Xenopus tropicalis: one gene and its partners. The protein of the gene in region 6 purifies or fractionates together with the protein of the main gene of each other region. This does not show direct contact. Links are inferred from orthologs where the notes say so. Each region holds a gene or a part of one and is shown on either strand. Other genes may lie near its edges.

Region 1 (2,766 bases), on a different chromosome or scaffold from region 6:
AAGTGTTAGTATTTTGTTCCAATTAAATGTATTTTCTACTTGTGAGATCAAAATGCTTTTGTTAAGAGGATTTTCTCCTTCGTGAATATTTTGCACTTTGCGCTACCTGTTTCTAGTCACTCCCAAGCTTCCTTTGTTACACTAGCAGCAGAAATTCCAGGTTTCTTAATTATGTCCCAAGCTGCTTGGGTTGCAGGGAACAGAGTCCTACCTCTGGTCTTCCAGACAGAGCACAGCGGAACCATAGAAACCTGTTCCTTCCAGTCCATGTACTGACAAATGCTCTGTGTACATAGACATTTTCTAATGAATACAGATGTTTTCTAATATATATATACAGAAAAAATGTCCTATTTTAGTACAAATTATGCTTTCTATTGTAAAGCCACTGAAATAAAATATTTCTATGAATTTCCGTCTCAGTGTTTGTCTGCCCAGCACTTGTGAGGTTTGATTCTTCACACAGGACCAATACAGTTGCTACACAAACAATGCTTACATTTTTTTTTTCTTTTTGTCTTTAAATCAGGACCCGGAGGTTCACATTTTATTAGTTCGTTCCTATTTATGAACAAGATGGTACAAAAATTTGGCAGATTTTTTCCATAATTTTTTACTTAAATTCACATGGTTCTTGAATAGGTGGAAATATTGATGGGATCCACCCACCCGTTGTTTAAAAACAGAATTACGCTGGAAGTCGTAAATCCTGGTCTGGACAATGGAATAGCTGCATGGTTGATTTTTAGCATGTTTTTAAATATGGTGAGGAAAGGGGGCAGAGAAGTGAATTAACAGCAAGGCCTGGTCCATCTTACCATATCAGGTAGTAAAGAAACCAGGGGCAGGGCATAGTTAAGACGCCATCTGTTCTAAAAACTTTAAAAAGTGACCAGTTCATATTCACACATGACAGACTGGCGATAAGGTGTAAGCGAAAGCAGCAGGGGGGGGAGTGAGGCTGGTTAACACAATATACAGTATGTACAGACTCTTGTTAATCAGTCCATAGGGTAGGCACTGCATCCGTCCTTTCCTAGCAGACGCTCTGGAAGAGCAGGGGTGGCAGGGGATGACAAGAATCCACAACACCTTCTTGGCACAGCAATAAAAAGGGTGCCAGCGCCTCAATAGAAAACTTGGAGAAAATTCTTAAATAAACAGCACATAACTAAGAATATGCCCCAACCCCTGAAAGCTGGGCACTGCCCATGGCACTACTACTCTTTGTTCCAAGAGCGAATGTTCGGATTGAGAGCAGCCTCTCTGTGCTGTGCCTGCACCTAGCAGCATCGCTTCTTCCGTTTACTGTTTTTGCTTAGTTTCACCACATCATTCTGTTGCTGCTGCTGCTGTTTTGCTAGGTTGTCTTTCTTTGCTCGCAAGACCAGCTCAGTAATGCAGTTAAACATCTAGAAAAGAAAGAGAAATTAGAAATATGCTAAAAGTGTACACTTCTAAAAACAATTTGAAAAACCCACCCCTTTACTAGCAACTGCTGAATGTAAAGGAATAGAAATGCCACGGACTTAGTAAATCTGCCCCTTGGTGCAGCTACAGCAAACCCTAACTTTTCTCTTTTTTTTTCATTAAAAATAAACTCATCTCCAGGAATGGCTGACATTTGTGTATGTGTGGGAAAAAGTCACAGAAAAGTGGTAACTACGACTTTTTTTTTTTTTTATTTGCACCAAAACCTCAACTTTTTTAACTGTCACACAAAAAACACAGAATCAAAGTTTAGAAGCAAAGAAAAACCAGGGAAGGGAAGTCTACTATTGACTTCTACGTGACTTCAGCGACTTTTAGCCCTAAAAAATCTAAATCAGAACAATAAATGAAAATCCGTTGGTAAAATGGCCCCCCAAGTGATCACAATCTCCATTTACTCAAATGTAAACAATCCCTCTGAACCACTTTCCTGCAAGATGCACCTTCCTGACTCTGGAAAGGGCACGTTAGGGACTTATAGCCATGGCTTGGGATCAGTTCTAAAAAGCACAAAATATTCATGCCATTATGCATGCCATTTAAGCATTTCCCATGCTGTGTCAGCCTAAGAGAGTAGGGAAATGCTACCTATGAGTGAGAGGTAGACCATCATATTTTCCTCTCAACCTGAGGCATCCTGTATGTCTGTAAAAAATACATATATTTGGCAGATTAGATGGATTTATGTACAAAAGGTGTAGACACTAACTGAATGTCAAAACAAGTGTTTTTCACCCTTTAAAAAGGGGAAAACCTCCTTAAAAAAATCTAATTTACATACCACTTGACAGCCTTACCACATTTCTTGGGATTATCCCTGCTTTAGATAAGGGTTGCATGCCTGAAATCATTTTGCAGCTATTTTCTTATGTGGTCCCTTACACAATCCAGTGCCACAAAAGCAGCAGTGCCCTAAAATCTCCAGCAGGAAATGTAGCAGAGTATAATGCAGGTAGCAACTGACCTACCTCTTCAACATTTAAATTCTCTTTGGCGCTAGTCTCAAACAGTTGGATATCCATCTGCGCAGCAAACTTATAGGCATCCTCTGTCTCCACCACTTTCCGTTCAGGGTCATCATTCTTATTACCCACTAAATAAATAAGAAAACAAATAAATAAATGTTCGCCACCCCACCAACATTATATTGGAGTGATGTTAATTAGAAAGTTAAAATAGAAACTTACCTAATATTCTACATACATCATCACAATTTTGGTTTATTTCATGTAACCATCGTTTAACATTGACAAATGATTCTGCGCTGGTCACATC
Region 2 (3,500 bases), about 9.6 Mb from region 6:
GAATAACCTGAATACATCTAGTTATTTAGCAGTTTAGTATCGGGTTAAACTGTCGTCTTAGCAGAGCCCCGCCCTCCCACCTTTAATTTAAACCAATAGAATGTACAGAAGATAATGGGGCAGTAACAAAATACTGCTTGGGACAGACAGAGCGGGGGAAGGTCAAGAAACGAACTGCCACCGCCGGGGGTAGGAAGGGGGGGGGGGACGTCACTAACAGCCGCAGCCTTCTCTCTGGGGTTGGGGCTCGCTGGTTAGTCGGCCGCCCTGGGGAGCGGACGGTTTGTGTTGTACGCCAGATTCCGCTGCGTTCAGATCGAGGCTCCCGTCCTGGATGTTCTGGTAGATCTTTTTGGCTGCCTCCAGGAATGCGTCTTCCACATTCTCCCCTCTGGAAGGAAAGAAAGGGCCAATCAGGGGGGGTTTGTGGGAGCAGCCGGGGGGGGGGGGGGGGCATTCAATTGTGAGAGATGCAAATCTTGCAATATTGAGGATGAGGAAGGGAGACACAAGCATCCTATGGGGGGGCCCCTCCTCCCACAAGCATCCTACGGGGGGGCCCCTCCTCCCACAAGCATCCTACGGGGGGGCCCCTCCTCCCACAAGCATCCTACGGGGGGGCCCCTCCTCCCACAAGCATCCTACGGGGGGGCCCCTCCTCCCACAAGCATCCTACGGGGGGGCCCCTCCTCCCACAAGCATCCTACGGGGGGGCCCCTCCTCCCACAAGCATCCTACGGGGGGGCCCCTCCTCCCACAAGCATCCTACGGGGGGGCCCCTCCTCCCACAAGCATCCTACGGGGGGGGGGCTCCTCCTCCCACAAGCATCCTACGGGGGGGGCTCCTCCTCCCACAAGCATCCTACGGGGGGGGCTCCTCCTCCCACAAGCATCCTACGGGGGGGGGGGGGGTCCCCTCCTCCCACAAGCATCCTACGGGGGGGGCTCCTCCCACAAGCATCCTACGGGGCGGCCCCTCCTCCCACAAGCATCCTACGGGGGGGCTCCTCCCACAAGCATCCTACAGGGCCCCTCCTCCCACAAGCATCCTACGGGGCGGCCCCTCCTCCCACAAGCATCCTACAGGGCTCCTCCTCCCACAAGCATCCTACAGGGCCCCTCCTCCCACAAGCATCCTACGGGGCGGCCCCTCCCACAAGCATCCTACAGGGCCCCACAAGCATCCTACGGGACCCCTCCCACAAGCAAGGTGGCTTCAACATGTATAATAACAATCAGAAAGTGCTTTGAATGTCACTGTTCTGAGCATTTTAGGGCAAGAAATAAAAACGAAAGGTCTCTTTCCATTGGCAGAATGGCCTATTTACTGGGCACATGGGGGGGGGGGGGATGTTGGGATGTACCATTCCCAGGATTCAGTTCTGGAGGTTTTTACAGGAACAAAGATAGGATTGGCCACCTGATAAGAAAAGCAAAATGTACTTACGTTTTTGCACTTGCTTCAAGGAACAGGAGACCTGTGGGAGATACAAAAACAAAAATGACTGTACCATCTGACAAACCAATCAACAAAGGGCAAACCGGGGCTAGTAACCCAAAGCAGCCAATCAGCAAGTAGCATTTACCCTCCCCGGTGCAATCTGTTGGGGGACATTGGGGTAAATCCTACAGACTTGGCCACAGATGGGGTTGGCTCAGGGTCCTAGCTCCCTATGGCAATGAGGTAAGAACTCACCATTCTCTTCAGCAAACTGCTTTGCCTCCTCGTAGGTAACGTCCCTCTGAGCTTCTAGATCTGCTTTGTTTCCTATAAGGATGATAACCTGCGAGCGAGAGGGGAAATGCCCTTGTTATTGGCTGTTAGTGGTTGCTTAAATATTTGCAGTTTTAGACTGCTAAAACTGGGCTTTTGGCTCAGCAGCTCTCTCGGAAAGTCTCAGTCGGCAACCATAGGGTTAACTAAATGCAGGAAGTGCACAAAGGGTCGCTGACACTGACCTACCGAGTGGGCTGCAAGTCTGGTATTAGCAGTCTTAAACTGCAAGTGTCCCAGAAACCACTAACAATAGAGAATTGTTGGATTTTTTGGCTTCTAGCCCTGCATACGGAAACCCCTGGGGTTCATCCATTCCATATGAAAGTGTCACATGGTTGGATGGTTTAGGACAGGAAGTAGTAGTACCCCCCCCCCTACATACAGTACAAAGCCAGTGGATTTTGGGTTGGACTTTACCGTATTTGGATTGGTGAGGTTCCGTGCATCTGTCAGCCAACTGCTTAAATGATTGTATGTGCTTCTCCTGCAAGCAACCAATAGAGCGATCTCATTAGCAACCAGCGCTGGCCAAGTGGCTACGTACCAGGGGCAGGATGGCGCCACTCACCTAGTGATGTCATAGACCATAAGTGCCCCGGCCGCGCCTCTGTAATAGCTCCGCGTGACGGCCCGGAACCGCTCCTGCCCCGCTGTGTCCCAGATCTGCAGTTTGATTTTCTGCCCGCTGACTTCGATGATCCGGGTGCCGAATTCCACGCCGATCGTATGGGGGCAGTCGGCCATAACTGTGCGGGTACAGAGATTGGGTTATAGCAGGTCTGATGGAGCAATGCCCCCATGGGGGTGTATCAATTCCAGGTGTTTAGGGTTAATATGTATCCCCCATAGCCTCAGGGGAGGAGACGGTAACTTACCCACAGTGTCCTCCCCCCAATACTAACATTAGCCGATCCGGCCCAATAGGTAACCTGCCCTTATTTACAGAACTACGCACTTCCTGCTGTGACAGCTTCCCCTTTACACATGTTTACTTTCCATTTTCCACTCGGCTGCCCCTTGGGCCCTGCCTTTAACCATACACAGCTCAGGGCTGCTTCGCTTCTTTACAGGCCTCAGTAGTCAGAACCAGCAGTGAAATGTACGGACAATGGCACTACTAAGTAACTGCTACTGGCAGTACCAGTAAAACATGGGTTAAAATCGTTGATAGCGGGAAATAAACAGCAAGTCAAGTCACAAAAATCACTATAAACATTATTAACTAAAAAAAAAAAAAAACAACATGGCAGATGCTGGGGAGTCGGGCGGCTCATACATAATGGATGGGTTTAATCCCGGCTATGGGATATTGGGCGGGGGCAGTGCCAAGAGACAGCACCAGGGGGGGGAGATGGTTTCTTCCAAAGCCTTGGGCTCAGGTACAGTACCTGCCATATTGTACTTATATGTATATACAGTTATGCCCCTAATGTGTGTGACTGTGATAGGGGCCTTAGATTGTAAGCTCACTGGGGCAGGGACTGATGGGAATGTGATAGGGACCTTAGATTGTAAGCACACTGGGGCAGGGACTAATGGGAATGGGATAGGGGCCTTAGATTGTAAGCTCACTGGGGCAGGGACTGATGGGAATGTGATAGGGACCTTAGATTGTAAGCTCACTGGTACAGGGACTGATGGGAATGGGATAGGGACCTTAGATTGTAAGCTCACTGGGGCAGGGACTGATGGGAATGTGATAGGGACCTTAGATTGTAAGCTC
Region 3 (3,500 bases), on a different chromosome or scaffold from region 6:
GCTATGAAACCCAGACCAGTGTGGGAAATTAAGTGTTAAATACCTGCTTTTTAGTACCAATATCTGGCACAGGAGCACAAAGCAGCCATTAAATACTTATACTTACCATCCTCTTATCCATTTTTGCTTTGATGTCTCTTGCCAATGTAAAAAATGCCTGTGAAAAGATAGAAGAACTTGATATCAAAAGCAATACTATGAGTGGGTGATTCCTTTAATCTCTTGCCTATATAGTACAAGTACTAGACAACAATAAACACTCTTTGGGGCTGATTTACTAAGACACGAATTCGAATTGGAAAAATTCCGACTGGAAAACGAACATTTTGCGACTTTTTCGTATTTTTTGCGATTTTTTAGTCGCCTTTACGACTTTTCGGAAATTGTCGCAACTTTTTCGTAACCATTACGACTTGCGCGAAAAAACGAGAGTTTTTCGTAGCCATTACGATTCGCTCGTATCTTGTCGCGACTTTTTCGTATTGAGCGCTCGTAAGCGGCGGGCGAAACTTTCAGACTTAGCATGATTTTGGAAGCCTCCCATAGGACTCAATGGCACCCTGCAGCTCCAACCTGGCCCAAGAAAAGTCACCATGCTGAAGCTTGAATGAATCTGAATCTTTCGTACTCGGCGCGAAAGCTGCGAAAAAGTCGCGACTTTTCGCGCAAGTCGTAAGGCTACGAAAAAATCGCAACATTTTGCGCAACATTCGGAATGGCTATGAAAAAGTTGCGTCAATTTTCAGAAAAATTGCAAAATACCGATCATTACGGAAAAAACGCAATCGGACGCATTCGGCCCGTTCGTGGGTTAGTAAATGTGCCCCTTTGTATCTCTATATAGAAAGATGAAAACACTGGCAAAACACTGACCCCAAACATGAAGTAAAAGTGGAGGTTTCTTAAAAACATACAAAAATTTATTTTAGATTCTCCAGGAATAAATACATACATAAATCACAACACACAAAGATCAGACACATATAGGTTATTATTTCTGGTTACGGCCCCCTAAACTCATATTCATACATACACTTGCATAGGTATTCCACAAATCTTACCATAACCTGGACCCACTTAGATGCAGCTTTGGGCCTCCATTTTGGAACTACTATTGTGTCCGCATAAAAGTATCATACCAACACTATAGATTCTATGTTTCAGGGCTCTATTTTGACATGTGGAACTGTTACTAAGTCCATTGCACAAAGGGTTAAAAAGGCAAAACAGACAACAAAAAGGCCATATGGAAGGGTTGTTATAAATATTGGGAGTTAACATTCTACCCCAAAAAATATCCCGGCGTTTTCTGGTGCCCCATTGGTTGTCCTATAGTGCTGGGTAATGATTGCATCAATGAAGAGCCATCAGGCACAGGGTACAGTACCATGTTGCGTGGTTTTTTCTCACTACACAGCACTACAGATTTTTCTTTTTTTTTTGCCGATACGAAAGAATATGGAAAGTTGCAGAAAAATGCTCGGACTTCTATAAAACACCCACTGCCTTTTTGACTATAGAAAACCTATGACTATATTGTTTGCTGACCACTCTTCACTTTAACCTGTTTTGATTGTTAAGGGAACAGTAACACCAAAAAATTTAAGAGTTTTAAAGTAAAAGAAATATAATGTACTGTTGCCCTGCACTGGTAAAAGTTGTGTGTTTGCTACAGTAACTCTACTATAGTTTATATAAATAAGCTGCTGTGTAGCCATGGGGGCAGCCATTCAAGCTGGAAAAAAGGAGAAAAGGCACAGGTTACATAGCAGATAACGGATAAGCTCTGTAGAATACAATAGTGTTTCTGTTATCTGCTAAGTGCCTGTGCCTTTTCTCCTTTGAATGGCTGCCCCCATGGCTACACAGCTGCATTCTTTATATAAACCATAGTAGTGTTTCTGAGGCAAACTCACCAGTTGTACCAGTGCAGAGCAGCAGTACATACACTTGAATTTTTTTGGTGTTACTGTTCCTTTAAGGGTGTCTACCAATGAACATTACTCTCCCCGCTTACTGAATTAAGCACGTTCAGTCTACTTACATTTTCCACATTGATATTTGCCTTTGCACTTGTCTCCATGAACTTAATTCCATATTCAAGGGCCAGCTGAAATACAAACAGTGATATTGCTAGTTATTTGAGGCACTGTACTATTTGCTTGTTCGGGGGCTCACAGTCCTTCCCACTACAGATAAAAAAAAACTGATTTATATTTCAATTAGCGCTCGCGCTCACCCAGTTAATTAGTAGGTTCGGGTGCTTATGCCGCAAACCTTTCGCTTATCACTTTTTTCTCTCTTTGTTCTGGGGAATTTATGCTCATATGTAAGTTCAAAATGCAGGATGCTCACTCACCACTTCCTTTTGGTGGCCCGGGTGCCATGCCCCAGACCCGCAGCATGGGGAGATTCAACTTCAATAGCCAGCACAAAACAGCATGCACTCATCGGACTCCAGGACAGCGGATAAAATTTCAAAAAAGCTTTATTAAGGATAAAAACCTAACCGTTAGGTTTTTATCCTTAATAAAGCTTTTTTGAATTTTTATCCGCTGTCCTGGAGTCCGACGAGTGCATGCTGTTTTGTGCTGGCTATTGAAGTTATTTGAGGCAGAAAAAAAAAAATTGGTAATGGATATGCTTCTATATTTTCTCTAAATATTTTAAACAAATGCACCACATTCTTATGTCTCTATCCTTTAGCCTCATTCTTTCAATATTCACCTTACTACATACTGGGTAATATTCTAAACTATATGAACAAAAAAATGCACCAGATTCTATTTTCCTGAGGTTAATACTTAAATTAAAGTCCAAGGAAACTGAGAAACAATTGCTCAGCCTTTCCCATTGCCCAACACCATATTTATTTTATGCAAAACTGTTAACATGTATTAACATGACCCTGCCCTGAATATCCTTGCACATATATCCCACTGACAACATCATTCCTCTCTTCATTCTTCCTTTAATATGTCAAGTCTAATTTGGACTACAGGAGCACTTACATTAAGCACATGTGACACCAGCCAAATAAATAAATTATATATATATATATATATATATATATATATATATATATATAATATATATATATTTTTTTGGGGGGGGGATGATTGGCGAGTGGATATGCACTATTTTTATGCCCTGGCAGAGTAATGCTCAGAGTTTTCTTCTACTTAAAAGGGCTAAAGATTGGTTATTGTTATAAAGCATTTGGAAACTTATTTTTCATATATTTTTAAATGTACCCAAACAGGACCTCATAGCTCGTTTACCTATTCACAGCTTAATGGGTTTTAAGCTCAGATATCAGAACACCAAAACTGTTAAATAACTCTTACCTTTTCACCCTTCTCTTTGGAAACTTGTCGCTTTTCATTCACATCACATTTGTTTCCTAGGATCATTTTCTCAACATCAGAGGATGCATGCTGGAAGGCAAAGAGTGTAAAGGTTTATATTTGCATCGAGAACTTGTCAGTCAGAATAGTATG
Region 4 (3,500 bases), on a different chromosome or scaffold from region 6:
CAAGCACTTGCAGTGATTGCCTGCTACTAATTCTATGCAGCATTGGCAGGGTACCCAAGGAAAGATTGTATACACATACAAGAGTGCAAAAGATAAAGCAGACACAGTCATGTCTGTGTAACAGTGAAGATGGTCCCAGAGATGATAAAGTGCAATATGAAAGGCAAGTGCAAATCAGTATGCAGCATTTTCCTCCAGAATTTCTGCTTAATAATGGGCGCTACAACATGTGCATCACTTACCTACGTGGCACAGTTTTTTGTTAGTCTATGTAGGTGTCCCCTTTCCTGTTCCATTGATGCACATGGTGACATAAGCTTTATTAGTAGTGATGTGCGGGACAAGAAAAAGTTCACTTGCATCCAACCCTAACCTGCCCGCTCCCAGCCCAACAATCCACCTCTATTTATAGATCTGCCCCTATCCCTAACATCATGAAGGGACAGGGTTTGGCAGGCGCGCAACTATAAATAGAGACAGCTGGAAGTGGGGCACAGTAAGGTTGCAGGCCTGCAACCCACAAATGTTATGCTAATTCCAGCCTGAAATTGCCCATCCTAATCACTAGCATGCGATTTAAGGTAAATAGAGTTAAACCACTGGAGTACTGGAATGAGAGGGGGTCTATAGTATCAAAGGCAGTGGAAAAATAAAAATAAAGGGAGGAAGAAAACTTCTAATACTAATCCAAATTCCTGGGGTCTATCAAAGTAAAAATGATCAACCATAGCAACATTCTTTTCAGATGAAAGATACATAGACTGGAGCAAAGTAAATAAGTGAAGCTTATGTAAAAATGAAATGCATAATACCCCAGCTAAAATGAGCATTGGGTAAAGGAGAACCAGGCTAAAAGGCAAAGAGTAAACAAGGGCACGGTAGTAAATGACTGGTTTGTACACGTGGGAAGAAAGAACTAAAAACAAGCAGCTCTCCTGCCTTCACATACAAATGAGCTGGAATCTTGAGGTACTTGCATTCTCAGCTCTATTCTATACACGGTGATAGAATTTGAGAAAGGATGTCATTTTGGTGAGCCACCTTGGGTGTTGCATTTTGTGGTCATTCATCAGGAAACCAGATGCTATCAAATACCTGGCCTAAATAGGTATATGATGCGGATACGGTTAATAAGCCTGAGGAAGTGAACTATATTAAAACAAGACAAAGTTATCAAAAGGACTAACATAGCCAAAATACATTACTGAGTCTTAAGAGCTAATTTGCAATGTGATCATATAACTAAAGTAAATAGTTTCACTTGTGTCAGGTGTGTTCGGGCCTCTCTGACCTCTCCACACCATTACATGCTCCACTAGAGAAATTAATATGGACAAAAGTACCATAATTTATATAGTATATTTTCTGCACCAGCCCTAAACTTTCAGCATCTCAATAGCAGCAATGATCCAGTACTTCAAACTTGTCACAGGAGCTCTCCATTTTGGAAAGTGTCTGCGACACGCAAATGCTGAGTATGTTCTAAGCAACTGTGCAGAAGCAGACAATGAGGTTGGCCTATAATATAAGCTGATGCTACAGGACTGTTTATTAAATTTCTGCTAAGTACACTGGTTTCAGAGCTGCAATGTAGTAATTAACTGTAATTATTACTAACCAGCCTTATATTGTGACATTTATATTCTTTATATACAGTAAATTGTGTGTCGGTCCCTAAGCTCATAAAGTGACAGCAGCACAGAGCATGTGCTTAAAATTAATAGAAAAGAAGATGGGGAGCTACTGGGGCATCTTCCCTGCTAAAGGGCTGGGTAAAAAATGTGAGCTGTATCTGTTGGAACTTTACAAACATAATGAATTAAAAACTCTATCATTTTTGAAAATAAAAATCAAATTCAGTTGCAGCCACTCCTGTTTCGCTCCATGCAGTAATTAGGGCAGCTTTAGACTGGCCGTTTTGTCAAACCCATTGGTATGATGTCCCTTTACCTACACGATATGGCTCATTTACCAACTTGGGTGCCATTTTTTTTGCTCCCTCCCTTCATCCCATGGTGAACGTCTGCAGGTCTCTGCACCTCATTTTAGAGCACAAAGACCAGCAGCAACCCCCATAAATACAGCATTGCCTGCGTGTGGCACTGCTGCATTCATAATGTAATAAAGCTTATTGCCTTTCAACAGATCCTACTACAGCATAAAGTTGAGAGAGACACATTGCTGAGGGGTAGTAGTAGTAGTAGGGTAGTAAAGAATAATTTAATTAGCTACAGAATTTTTAGTAGATTATAAAGGTATGGATCTCTTATCTAGAAACTGAATATTCCAAAAGCTCCAAATAATTGGAAGGCCATCTCCCATAGTCCATTTTTAAGGGATAGTGACAGGTTTTAACAGGAATGTGTCACTATGCCTACGTAAACCCCAGCACCACTAACAGATGTACACCCCTGCCTCCCCCCACCTCACACTAATCTTACTAGCTTGGGGCGAAACAACATTCTGCTAGGCTGGAGGACAAATGTAAACAGTGCCTCAGCCAATTAGAACATTGTCAAGCCCCCACGATGTTCAATTGAAAGCGGAACCAGAGACCGGTACTTACTTGAAAATCCACAGCTCTCTTTGAGGCCAGATCAGCTTTGTTACCAGATAAAGCTATCACAATATTGGGGCTTGCCTGTCTCTGCAGCTCTTTTACCCAGTTCTTTGCTCTAGCAAATGATTCCTGTAAATAAAAAAAAAAGAGTGCGTGAAGTTGAATAAACTAAGCCTGTCCCACCTACACAATTGTGCTGATGCTTACAGAATATAGTATAGGGGGAAGAGAGAGAGCAACTCCATCTTAGTAAATCATAAAATTATATAAGGTTTATACACACATGCAAAAAACTTAAGCACTGATTTTACTTGGGGATCCTAACATTTTGGCACCCCCTAGTGAAACAGGCTTTCCTTGTCCTTTAAAATGTGCTTTGCAAATGCATATAATATTGTGAAATTTGAAGTGGTGGTTCACCTTTAAGTTAACTTTTAGTATGCTGGAGAGCTGCTGAACAAAAAGATAAATAATTCAAAAACCACAAATAAAAAAATGAAAACTAACTGCACACTGTCTCAAAATAGCACTCCCTACAGCATACTAAAAGTTAATTCAAATGTGAAAAACCACTTTAAGGCAAACTGAGCAATACTCATGAGTGTTCCTTCAAGCTTTTCCAATACACTGCATTAGTAAGTGGGTTTAAAAAAACCAGTGTACAATTGTGAGATACATTACAGATGCATATCACACTTTAGCTACATTTCCATTTATATTATAATATATATATATATATATATATATATATATATATATATATATATATATATATATATATATATATATATATATATATATATATATATATATATATATGCTGTTCATGTATTTTTCAATATATAATTAATTGTTTGCAATAGATCCGGTGTTGCTGGTCTTTTTTTCTAATTATATATATATATATATATATATATATATATATATATATATATATATA
Region 5 (3,500 bases), on a different chromosome or scaffold from region 6:
AACCAGCCAAGAATGGCACACACAGTGAAAGTATGGCACACGCAGGCAGGGTAGGGAAGGCAGAGTATGGCAGACACAGGCAGGGTAGGGAAGGCAGAGTATGGCACACACAGGCAGGGTAGGGAAGGCAGAGTATGGCACACACAGGCAGGGTAGGGCAGGCAGAGTATGGCACACACAGGCAGGGTAGTGAAGGCAGAGTATGGCACACACAGGCAGGGTAGGGCAGGCAGAGTATGGCAGGCTTTTGCTGTACTACAACCATTAATATGGGTATGGTCATGTGATAACATGGGTGTGGTTTCAAGTGGGTGCGGTTTCAAAAAGGGGAGTGGTCAAAACTGGCTTCCATTATCGGCCCTCCACCACGTAGGTCGGAAAAATTCCGGCCCTCGGTACAACAGAAGTTGGACAGCACTGCTGTAGAGGCATAGTTAATCTATGTATTGGGTATTGTGAAATTTGTTGTTCAGCGAACTGTGGCAATCTCCATTTTTCTTTTTTCTAAATAAGAGATGAATGTACAACTGGGTCTTTTTATGTTGGAAAAGAGGAGCTTAAGGGGGATATGATAACTGTGTATAAATATGAGGGGATCGTAAAATAACCTCTCTAAGGCTTTATTTACCAGTGATCCAGGGACTGGTCCGATTGCCATCTTGGAGTCAGGAAGGAATTTTTACCCTCTGAGGCAAATTAGAGAGGCTTCAGATGGGGTTTTTTTTGCCTTCCTCTGGATCAACTAGCAGTTAGGCAGGTTATATATAGGCTTAAAGATTGAACTTGATGGACCTGTGTCTTTTTTCACCATAACTTACTATATTACTGTAAATACTATATTTCTTTTGAAAGGTATTTCCTAGCTTCCCTTAAAGGTGTATCTGTTTCTGCAATTTTTTCTAAATATGTTCCTCTGTATTTCTAGTTATGAAACTAAAGTAATTTTGTTGATGCTTAAACTTTTGCTACCTCAAAAAAATAACAAGTCCATTTTAAGCCAATATGGAGAAAAGAAAGACTTGACAGTCCTCTTTTCTTTAAAAGCTTGAGAAGCAATCAAATAGCAGTTATGAATGAAACCAGCTTGATTCTTGGAGTTCAGCGTAACTGAATTGTAACTCTTAACATGTGGCATATGTGGCTTCAAAGAACTTTGCACTTTAAGCAGCAAATTGTTCAGATGCAGTAATGAGACAAGCTGTAGAGATGTTTTGGCTAAATCTAAACCTTAAGGGCTAATTTATCAACATATTGAGTTTAGTGGTTTTAGAGTTTTTTGAAATCGGGAATAAACACATTTCCACAAAAACCACAAATGTCTAGTCATTTATTAAAAGATCCAAATATAAAAAGCATGAATGATTTAAAATTCAGAACCAAAACCATTAATTTTTCATGTTTTTTCCTGCATATTCTATAACAGCACAAATAAAGATTGTTACAATTTGCATAGGACAACTACCACTAACTTCAACATGACCTCAACAACTTTTACCTTTTACATGGCAAGGTTTTGTATTCGTTTTAGTGCAAAAAAAAAAAAAAAAAAGGAAAAAAACATGGATTGTGGAGGAATAAAAAGGAAATACTTAGTAAACTCCCCCCTAAGGAGGACACCTAATAGAAAGCAGATAAGGCAGTAGAATGTACCTCAAATAAAAAAACAAAAACTCACACACATTCAAAGATTATCACTATCAACAGCATGATTAAATTGCATCATAAATAGAGCCAGCTGTAGGATTTAATAGCATGAGATACCTTAGTGCAGATTCCCATTAGTTAGTGTTGAACACTGGGCTCTGTGTGGCTGGAGAAAGGATTTGTTGATTTGTTTCCTTGAATCTCCTTCACAGCGGCATTTCTCACACAGTCTGTCTGCCTGGATGACACAACTGTAAAATTTGAAATCTGGGATACAGCAGGACAAGAGCGATACCACAGCTTGGCACCCATGTATTACCGGGGAGCACAGGCTGCCATTGTGGTATATGATATCACAAACCAGGTAAGGGACTATATTCACAAAAGGCCTTTACTCTAGCACTGAAGTGCTGCTGAAAGCATGGGACTACCTCGTCCTAGAAAGGATTTTTCATTGTGTACTTGCTCTACAGCAGTGATGCCCAACCAGTGGCTCGTGAGCCACATGTTGCTCTCCAACCCTTTGGATGTTGCTCCCAGTGGCCTTAAAGCAGGTGCTTATTTCTGAATTTCTGGCTTAGAGGCAAGTTTTAGTTGCATAAAAAACAGGTGTACTGCCAAACAGAGCCTCCTGTAGGCTGCCAGTCCACATAGGGGCTACCAAATAGCCAATAACAGCCCTTATTTGGCACCCCCAGGAAAATGTTTTATGATTGTGTTGCTCTCCAAGTATTTTCACATTTGAATGTGGCTCATGAATAAAAAAAAGGTTGGGGATCCCTGCTCTACAGGGTAGAGATCTCCTTCTTACTTTTTCTCTAACATAATGAGCTGCATTTTTAATTCTGATTTAGTTGGCAAACCAGCAGCAAATTACTTAGTTTGTATTTTGTATTTGCCACAAAAGCTTTGAATTGCACTATTCAATGAACACTTTCCTATAGCATTTCTAATTTGAAACACATCTACATTTTGAGTTTGCTTTTCATTTGTATTCTAGTAGTAGACCTCCATCATAAGTAAGAAGTTTAAAGAGCTTTTGGGAATCAATGGCTTAGATCTCCGGCAGCACACTGCTTGCTGGTGGAAATCTGAGCCATGAATTTCCAATAAAAGCTTTTTAAACTTGTTAGTTTTGATGGTGCTGTGACACCTAGTACTAGTTTTTGATACAGTTGATGTGCAGACAACATATAAAGGGCACCGAATAATGAACAACAGAAGAGTGGTGAGTGCTGACTAATCTACACAGTTGTATTCATTTTATTCTGCAGGAAACATTTGCCAGAGCCAAGACATGGGTAAAAGAGTTACAGAGGCAAGCCAGTCCTAACATTGTGATAGCTTTGTCAGGGAACAAGGCTGACCTCACTAGTAAACGGATGGTGGAGTATGAAGTAAGTAGTACTTTCTGTCACCTTTCTTAATTCATATTGTATATTCTCTAATATTTATGTATCAGTACCAAATTTAATTTAGTTAGAGGTTCTGAAGATAAAATTTGTAGCTTAAAATATTTTTCAAACATACAAGCAGTAAATACCTGCTTAAGCAGTTTGTCCTATTACCTCCATCAGACCAGGACTGGGATTCAAATTAAGCTCTGGCATTTCATGTACACAGAATCCCAAACAGCCCCCCACCAGCCCAATAAATAGTGACTGTCTATGGCATCTTACAGCAGCCCCTCCGGCATTTGCCAGAATCCACAGATTGCCAGTCTGGGCCTAGCTTCCATAAGTTTAAAAAAAAAAAAAAACATTTAAAAGAAATGAACCAAGAACAGTAGAAAAAGAGAACTGAAGAGGAAAAAGACACGATGGCCATGTTCACTTATGCAAAGGCACATAATGAGA
Region 6 (3,500 bases):
TGGAGGAGAGAGTTCATCCATCACTCCCCTGGAAGAGGTATATTCTACCCCATATCACCCCCCAAGGAGGAAATACTTTCTATAGCTGCAATAGTAACCGCTGTACCCACAATCTTTTCTCTATCTCCTTGGCACATTATCCAGCAAGTTGCTGCCCAGTGCCCTACACCCATTATGTACCCATCAGCACCCTTACCCCACCAGTAGGGACCGCACTTCTCTGTAGCTTTCATTATTATTCATGACATGTTCCTACCATACTGTTGATTGATACTGATTAAGTCCAGCACTGTCCACAAGCAACTCCACTACCCCCCCCCCCCCACACACGCACACACACACGCACTTCTCCTTTTTTCTGGCTTTTCCATTAACAGCTCTATAAACGATTCGATATGGCTGATGGCCCCCCAGAGAGCATGGGAAGGGGACGAGACTGGAACGTGGATTTAATCCCTAAATTCCTCATGGCTAATGGTAAGCTCACATGCAGAGGGTGGGGGGATTGCATTGTGAATGTCGGTGTGTGGGGGCACCCTTCTATACAGCTTGGCAGTAAAGTGAAATCCTGTGGATCTACCAACAGTTCTGCTTTGGGGGTCCCAATCATTTTGCACCTTAGAGATTATTATATGGCAGGTTTGAATCTTTCATTTCTGCACAGTGGATTTAGGGGACCCCTCTCTCTATTTAAGGTCAGCTTGTGAAGATGCTGCTTTACACAGAAGTTACCCGTTACCTGGACTTTAAGGTTATAGAAGGAAGCTTTGTATATAAAGGTGGAAAGATCTACAAGGTGCCATCTACTGAGACAGAAGCGCTGGCATCCAGTAAGTGCCCTGGGGTTCTGGACAACTGGTGCTGGGTTGGGCATGGGCAGGTTCCAAAGGGTTCCAAGGTGGGTCTAGAGAAGATGATTAGGACTGCTGCTGAGATGGTTTGGACAGAGGCAGGTTCCTGGGATTCCAAGATGGTGGCATGGCCAGTTGAAGAAGTTCAGGTTCTTCTGATTCCACTGTAATGACTGGGCCTGGAAGATGAATAGCTCTGCTGCTAAAAAATTGGGCACAAGTGGGTTCTTAGGGTTCTATGATGGTGGAAACTCATTAGATGTGATGCTGGGGTGGATAAGGCAGGTTCCTAGGGTTCCAAGATGGGTCTAGAAAATGTTTAGGGCTGATGGACAGGGTCAGGTCCCAGGGTGCCAGTGATGGCTGGGCCAAGACAATAATTAGATATGGTGCCATTATCATATGAGCTGGTCCTGTTTTCTTAACTTTATTCTTTTCTGTAACTTCAACCCAGATCTCATGGGGATGTTTGAGAAGCGCCGGTTCCGTAAATTCCTGGTATTTGTAGCCAATTTCGATGAGAATGATCCCAAAACGTTTGAAGGGGTGGATCCAAAGGACACAACCATGCGTGACGTATACAAGAAGTTTGATTTGGGACAGGATGTCATTGACTTTACTGGGCACGCTCTGGCGCTGTACCGAACCGATGAGTACGCTGGGGCAGGATGATGGGGCATTCTGTAGGGTTTGGGCATAAGCTGGGGTTATTCCATCTCACTGCAGAATTCCATGTCATTCTATCCAATGAGCAGTCATGTCCACACTGTGACTAGATACAAACTGATAGAGGCTCTTTTCTTCCCATTTTCAGCTATTTGGACCAACCCTGCCTAGAAACTATCAATCGCATTAAGCTTTACAGCGAGTCTTTGGCAAGATATGGCAAGAGTCCCTACTTGTACCCTTTGTATGGGCTGGGGGAGCTGCCACAGGGCTTTGCCAGGTATGTATATATTTATTCTCCTAGTGTCATTAGTGTCTCCTAGTGCTCATATCCACCCCTCGGCCCCTCACTCCATCTCTTGTGCCTCCATAGAGAGAACTTGCCGCCCTAGGCCTCGGCCTTTATGGCCTCTCCACAAATCCAGGCCTGCTCATATCCATCCCTCTGCCCCTCACTCCATCTCTTGTGTCTCCATAGAGAGAACTTGCCGCCCTAGTCCTCGGCCTTTATGGCCTCTCCACAAATCCAGGCCTGCTCATATCCACCCCTCTGCCCCTCACTCCATCTCTTGTGTCTCCATAGAGAGAACTTGCCACCCTAGTCCTCGGCCTTTATGGCCTCTCCACAAATCCAGGCCTGCTCATATCCACCCCTCTGCCCCTCACTCCATCTCTTGTGTCTCCATAGAGAGAACTTGCCGCCCTAGTCCTCGGCCTTTATGGCCTCTCCACAAATCCAGGCCTGCTCATATCCATCCCTCTGCCCCTCACTCCATCTCTTGTGTCTCCATACACTCCTCCCCCTCTCATCCAAGAGCGTACAGGCCCCTCCCCTTATCATGGCTTCCCATAACCTTCCCCCCCACTCCTCTGCCCCTCACCCCATCTCTTGTGTCTCTATACGTTCCTGGCCGATTCCTTCGCTCCTCTCAGAGCAGCTGCTTGGTTGTAACCCCATTACTACTGCCATTTTAACGCTTTGTGCCTTGCTACCCCTTACATTGGGAATGGCACCCTGAATTCTCCCGGTGAGAATCCCCCCTCAGAACGAAACTCACAGACCCCCTCTTGGGGCACTTGCACAGCCCCTAATCTGGGAACTGGAACTTATATAGCTGTTTACCCACCGTAACCTGCAGCAGTTCACTTAGATCGTTAGCTCTATGGGGTAGGGATCTCCATCTTCTTGTCTCTTTGATCTCTAATGTAACTGCATTTGTTTTTATTTGTATTTATTATTGTTCATTACTGTACATCTAAGGAAACATGTATCTAAGGAAACATGTTAGGGTTACACACATACATGTGACCAATACGGGTAAGTAGTACATTACAGAGAGTACACTCTAACCCTAATACCCCGGCTGATGTGTTTCTGCCGTAGGCTAAGTGCAATATATGGAGGAACCTACATGCTGAACAAATCCGTGGATGAGATTGTAATGGAGAAAGGCCGAGTGGTTGGCGTTAAATCAGAGGGAGAGGTAAGGTTTTAGGGGCATTTTCAGTAAGTCAGAATTTCAGTGGGGTTGTTAGAAGGGTTGCAGTCAAGGCTGTTAGTGGGTTCAGGTCCCCATGGCTTCTCACTGTCACATCTAGCTCTACTGCCATTGTCTTGCCCTGCTGCATTGCTTTTGCCTCAAAGTATCTGTCTTGCCCTTGTTGCCATCTTGCAGTGCCGTCACCACCTTCCTCTAATGTCTGCATCCTGTTTCCATCTTGTCCTGCTATCTGTGTCATCTGTGTCTGTGCCATATTGGCTCACTTGTCTACATCTTCTCTCCATCTTGCCCAGCTGTCTCCATCTTGTACTGTTGTGTTCCATCTTGCCATACTGTCTCCATCTTGTCCTACTGTCTTTATTTTGCATCTGTCTCCATCTTGCCCTACTGTCCCCATCTTGCCCTACTGTCCCCATCTTGCCCTACTGTCCCCATCTTGCCCTGCTCTCTCAATCTTGCCTTACTCTCTCCATTTTGCCCT
Region 7 (4,250 bases), on a different chromosome or scaffold from region 6:
AAAGGAAAGTGCTAATCCACCAGTGAGGGCTGGGAACAGGGAGACGAATCCCAGCGACTATGGCTCTGTGAGCAGGTGACTCCTAACAGGGGTAACATAAGGTCTGTAGCCCACTGACATGTCTGTACATGGGGCAGTACAATGGTTACTTACTTCTAACTTGTCTGTGTGTGGCACAGACCTACCAGGCCCTATCAGCTGCCCATAGGGACCAGTCAATGTCCCCCTATCAGCTGCCCATAGGAACCAGTCAATGTCCCCCTATCAGCTGCCCACAGGGACCAGTCAATGTCCCCCTATCAGCTGCCCACAGGGACCAGTCAATGTCCCCCTATCAGCTGCCCACAGGGACCAGTCAATGTCCCCCTATCAGCTGCCCACAGGGACCAGTCAATGTCCCCCTATCAGCTGCCCACAGGGCCCAGTCAATGTCCCCAATATGCCCATAGGGCCCAGTCAATATGCCCATAGGGCCCAGTCAATATGCCCATAGGGCCCAGTCAATATGCCCATAGGGCCCAGTCAATATGCCCATAGGGCCCAGTCAATATGCCCATAGGGCCCAGTCAATATGCCCATAGGGCCCAGTCAATATGCCCATAGGGCCCAGTCAATATGCCCATAGGGCCCAGTCAATATGCCCATAGGGCCCAGTCAATATGCCCATAGGGCCCAGTCAATATGCCCCTATCAGCTGCCCATAGGGACCAGTCAATATGCCCCTATCAGCTGCCCATAGGGACCAGTCAATATGCCCCTATCAGCTGCCCATAGGGACCAGTCAATATGCCCCTATCAGCTGCCCATAGGGACCAGTCAATGTCCCCCTATCAGCTGCCCATAGGAACCAGTCAATATGCCCCTATCAGCTGCCCATAGGAACCAGTCAATATGTCCCTATCAGCTGCCCATAGGGACCAGTCTATATCCCCCTATCAGCTGCCCATAGGAACCAGTCAATATGTCCCTATCAGCTGCCCATAGGGACCAGTCAATGTCCCCCTATCAGCTGCCCATAGGAACCAGTCAATATGCCCCTATCAGCTGCCCATAGGAACCAGTCAATATGTCCCTATCAGCTGCCCATAGGGACCAGTCAATGTCCCCCTATCAGCTGCCCATAGGGCCCAGTCAATGTCCCCCTATCAGCTGCCCATAGGAACCAGTCAATATGCCCCTATCAGCTGCCCATAGGAACCAGTCAATATGCCCAATATGCCCACAGGGACCAGTCAATATGTCCCTATCAGCTGCCCATAGGGACAAGTCAATATGCCCCTATCAGCTGCCCATAGGGACCAGTCAACATGCCCCTATCAGCTGCCCATAGGGACCAGTCAATATCCCCCTATCAGCTGCCCATAGGGACCAGTCTATATCCCCCTATCAGCTGCCCATAGGAACCAGTCAATATGTCCCTATCAGCTGCCCATAGGGACCAGTCAATGTCCCCCTATCAGCTGCCCATAGGAACCAGTCAATATGCCCCTATCAGCTGCCCATAGGAACCAGTCAATATGTCCCTATCAGCTGCCCATAGGGACCAGTCAATGTCCCCCTATCAGCTGCCCATAGGGACCAGTCAATGTCCCCCTATCAGCTGCCCATAGGAACCAGTCAATATGCCCCTATCAGCTGCCCATAGGAACCAGTCAATATGCCCCTATCAGCTGCCCATAGGAACCAGTCAATATGCCCAATATGCCCACAGGGACCAGTCAATATGTCCCTATCAGCTGCCCATAGGGACAAGTCAATATGCCCCTATCAGCTGCCCATAGGGACCAGTCAACATGCCCCTATCAGCTGCCCATAGGGACCAGTCAATATCCCCCTATCAGCTGCCCATAGGGACCAGTCTATATCCCCCTATCAGCTGCCCATAGGAACCAGTCAATATGTCCCTATCAGCTGCCCATAGGGACCAGTCAATGTCCCCCTATCAGCTGCCCATAGGGACCAGTCAATGTCCCCCTATCAGCTGCCCATAGGAACCAGTCAATATGCCCCTATCAGCTGCCCATAGGGCCCAGTCAATATGCCCCTATCAGCTGCCCATAGGAACCAGTCAATATGCCCAATATGCCCACAGGGACCAGTCAATATGTCCCTATCAGCTGCCCATAGGGACAAGTCAATGTCCCCCTATCAGCTGCCCATAGGAACCAGTCAATATGCCCAATATGCCCACAGGGACCAGTCAATATGTCCCTATCAGCTGCCCATAGGGACAAGTCAATATGCCCCTATCAGCTGCCCATAGGGACCAGTCAACATGCCCCTATCAGCTGCCCATAGGGACCAGTCAATATGTCCCTATCAGCTGCCCATAGGGACCAGTCAATATGCCCATAGGGACCAGTCAATATGCCCATAGGGACAGCTGGCAATGCCCCATGTAGGTTAGTTGCCTACTGTCAGTTACCCATCAAACCCGAAGTTGCCCCTCTCAGATGACCCAAGGGGAGGAGCAAAGCCCCCCCCCCCCATAGCCAATGAGCCCACCCGGGCCCCCCTGCGCTTACCGATGGTAGAGATGAAGGTGGTGTTGAAGGCATCGTCCGAGAAGCGGAAGAGCACGCAGGTCTTGCCCACCCCGGAGTCCCCGATCAGCAGCAGCTTGAAGAGCAGGTCGTACGTCTTTTTCGCCATGGGCACTGTTTCCGTCTCACTCCCTCCGCCTGGGGCTGCGGCCTCGGCTCGGCCGGCTCCTCATACACGGGGGGGCGGGGAGGCCCAGCGGGGACGGGACGGGAGACTGTCCGGCCGGAGGGTGCCCCCAGCACCGGGTGAAGCACACGCACACACAGGGGAAAAGAGAAAGAAAGCCGGCGGCCCCACACCCAGCTCAGTGCGCTTCTCGGCTCGCTAAGTGCCGCCTGCTTGTCCCGGCCTCTTCCCACCTTCTCTGAGCCCCTCCTCTCCGGCCTCGCTGGGAGACTCCGGACAAAATGGCTATCCCTCCCACAGACTTTCCGCGTACTCACCACAGCTAGGCGCCGCCCACCGCGGGAGCGCGCAACCATACACTGGCTAAATGCAGGCCTCTCCCTAGGCCTCTGCGCGTCCCCACAGAGCAGGCACCGCCCACCGCGGGAGCGCGCAACCATACACTGGCTGAATGCTGGCCTCTGCGCGTCACCACACAGCAGGCACCGCCCACCGCGGGAGCGCGCAACCATACACTGGCTGAATGCTGGCCTCTGCGCGTCCCAACAGAGCAGGCACCGCCCACCGCGGGAGCGCGCAACCATACACTGGCTGAATGCTGGCCTCTGCGCGTCCCAACAGAGCAGGCACCGCCCACCTTGCGATGCAGTCAACAAAATGGCGGCCACTCCCCTCAGCCTGATGGTTTGCGCGCTACCGCCTGTCTCCTAAGGGATTTTTTTTTTCTTAATCCAACTTTATACATTAGGCAGTTACATGACAATCACGGTTCGGTACCAAAGTCAGACGGGGAGGGGCAGGGTTGCCAGGTTGGCGGGTTTTCCACCAAATTGGGCTACTTATTGGGCGGGTTTCCAAAGTACAAACCCAACAAGGTACAAATTTGGACTGTTTTTGGAGTCTTGGCAGGTTTGTAGTTTGGGAACTAGTCAAGGATTTGTTTCCCCTTGCATCTCAGTGCATGCTGGGTAATGTAGTTTGTCTCTTACAATTAGCCTACAGAATAAGATTAATATAAAACTACATTACCCAGCATGCAATTGGGTAGACAGAAGCTCCCTTTTCTATTCCTCTTTGCTGAAGCTGCAAAACTACAATAACCTCATGGACTGGGCACAGAGGGCAGGGAAACATCAGCCATGCCAGTAACTGGAGAGGAGGCATAGGGCAGGGGTAGTGCATACCTCCCAAAAATTTTGGCCACGCCCCAATTGCCACACCCCATTTTTAAAATAGTTAAAATAGTGCCCACGATGGCCCAATAGACAGCACCCCATAGAAAGTACCCTCCATACACAATGCCCCCATAGAAAGTGCCCCCATACACAGTAGCCCTCCTTACACAGTGCCCCCCCATACAGTGCCCCCCCATACAGTGCCCCCAATACACAGTAGCCCTCCTTACACAGTGCCCCCCATACACAGTGCCCCCCCATACACAGTAGCCCTCCTTACACAGTGCCCCCCATACACAGTGCCCCCCCATACACAGTAGCCCTCCTTACACAGTGCCCCCCCATACACAGTAGCCCTTCATACACAGTGCCCCCCATACACAGTGCCCCCCCATACACAGTAGC

The links.
Region 1: the proteins of gdi1 (region 6) and rab35 purify together in Homo sapiens (affinity purification with mass spectrometry; 3 studies listed by BioGRID and IntAct, counting the BioPlex papers as one, with this or other methods). This does not show direct contact. The link is inferred for Xenopus tropicalis from reciprocal best matches to the Homo sapiens genes GDI1 and RAB35.
Region 2: the proteins of gdi1 (region 6) and rab14 purify together in Homo sapiens (affinity purification with mass spectrometry; 3 studies listed by BioGRID and IntAct, counting the BioPlex papers as one, with this or other methods). This does not show direct contact. The link is inferred for Xenopus tropicalis from reciprocal best matches to the Homo sapiens genes GDI1 and RAB14.
Region 3: the proteins of gdi1 (region 6) and rab8a purify together in Homo sapiens (co-immunoprecipitation; 6 studies listed by BioGRID and IntAct, counting the BioPlex papers as one, with this or other methods). This does not show direct contact. The link is inferred for Xenopus tropicalis from reciprocal best matches to the Homo sapiens genes GDI1 and RAB8A.
Region 4: the proteins of gdi1 (region 6) and rab5a purify together in Homo sapiens (affinity purification with mass spectrometry; 3 studies listed by BioGRID and IntAct, counting the BioPlex papers as one, with this or other methods). This does not show direct contact. The link is inferred for Xenopus tropicalis from reciprocal best matches to the Homo sapiens genes GDI1 and RAB5A.
Region 5: the proteins of gdi1 (region 6) and rab5b purify together in Homo sapiens (affinity purification with mass spectrometry; 3 studies listed by BioGRID and IntAct, counting the BioPlex papers as one, with this or other methods). This does not show direct contact. The link is inferred for Xenopus tropicalis from reciprocal best matches to the Homo sapiens genes GDI1 and RAB5B.
Region 7: the proteins of gdi1 (region 6) and rab10 purify together in Homo sapiens (co-immunoprecipitation; 4 studies listed by BioGRID and IntAct, counting the BioPlex papers as one, with this or other methods). This does not show direct contact. The link is inferred for Xenopus tropicalis from reciprocal best matches to the Homo sapiens genes GDI1 and RAB10.

The regions. Positions count from the first base shown.
Region 1 is NC_030677.2:151,500,747-151,503,512, forward strand, and holds the end of rab35 (ras-related protein Rab-35), read right to left. Parts: coding exon 2,679-2,766; intron 2,585-2,678; coding exon 2,460-2,584; intron 1,413-2,459; coding exon 1,284-1,412; 3' UTR 501-1,283; downstream 1-500. UniProt on the Homo sapiens protein: The small GTPases Rab are key regulators of intracellular membrane trafficking, from the formation of transport vesicles to their fusion with membranes.
Region 2 is NC_030684.2:9,756,468-9,759,967, reverse strand, and holds part of rab14 (ras-related protein Rab-14), read right to left. Parts: intron 2,524-3,500; coding exon 2,346-2,523; intron 2,262-2,345; coding exon 2,195-2,261; intron 1,785-2,194; coding exon 1,697-1,784; intron 1,479-1,696; coding exon 1,448-1,478; intron 392-1,447; coding exon 214-391; 3' UTR 1-213.
Region 3 is NC_030677.2:104,435,911-104,439,410, reverse strand, and holds part of rab8a (ras-related protein Rab-8A), read right to left. Parts: intron 3,438-3,500; coding exon 3,348-3,437; intron 2,111-3,347; coding exon 2,045-2,110; intron 158-2,044; coding exon 107-157; intron 1-106. UniProt on the Homo sapiens protein: The small GTPases Rab are key regulators of intracellular membrane trafficking, from the formation of transport vesicles to their fusion with membranes.
Region 4 is NC_030682.2:45,585,571-45,589,070, reverse strand, and holds part of rab5a (ras-related protein Rab-5A), read right to left. Parts: intron 2,690-3,500; coding exon 2,567-2,689; intron 1-2,566. UniProt on the Homo sapiens protein: The small GTPases Rab are key regulators of intracellular membrane trafficking, from the formation of transport vesicles to their fusion with membranes.
Region 5 is NC_030678.2:137,846,644-137,850,143, reverse strand, and holds part of rab5b (ras-related protein Rab-5B), read left to right. Parts: intron 1-1,856; coding exon 1,857-2,008; intron 2,009-2,918; coding exon 2,919-3,041; intron 3,042-3,500. UniProt on the Homo sapiens protein: The small GTPases Rab are key regulators of intracellular membrane trafficking, from the formation of transport vesicles to their fusion with membranes.
Region 6 is NC_030684.2:153,597-157,096, forward strand, and holds part of gdi1 (rab GDP dissociation inhibitor alpha), read left to right. Parts: coding exon 1-37; intron 38-377; coding exon 378-477; intron 478-695; coding exon 696-830; intron 831-1,305; coding exon 1,306-1,504; intron 1,505-1,665; coding exon 1,666-1,797; intron 1,798-2,901; coding exon 2,902-3,001; intron 3,002-3,500. UniProt on the Homo sapiens protein: Regulates the GDP/GTP exchange reaction of most Rab proteins by inhibiting the dissociation of GDP from them, and the subsequent binding of GTP to them. Promotes the dissociation of GDP-bound Rab proteins from the membrane and inhibits their activation.
Region 7 is NC_030681.2:154,267,814-154,272,063, reverse strand, and holds the start of rab10 (ras-related protein Rab-10), read right to left. Parts: upstream 2,801-4,250; 5' UTR 2,653-2,800; coding exon 2,526-2,652; intron 1-2,525. UniProt on the Homo sapiens protein: The small GTPases Rab are key regulators of intracellular membrane trafficking, from the formation of transport vesicles to their fusion with membranes.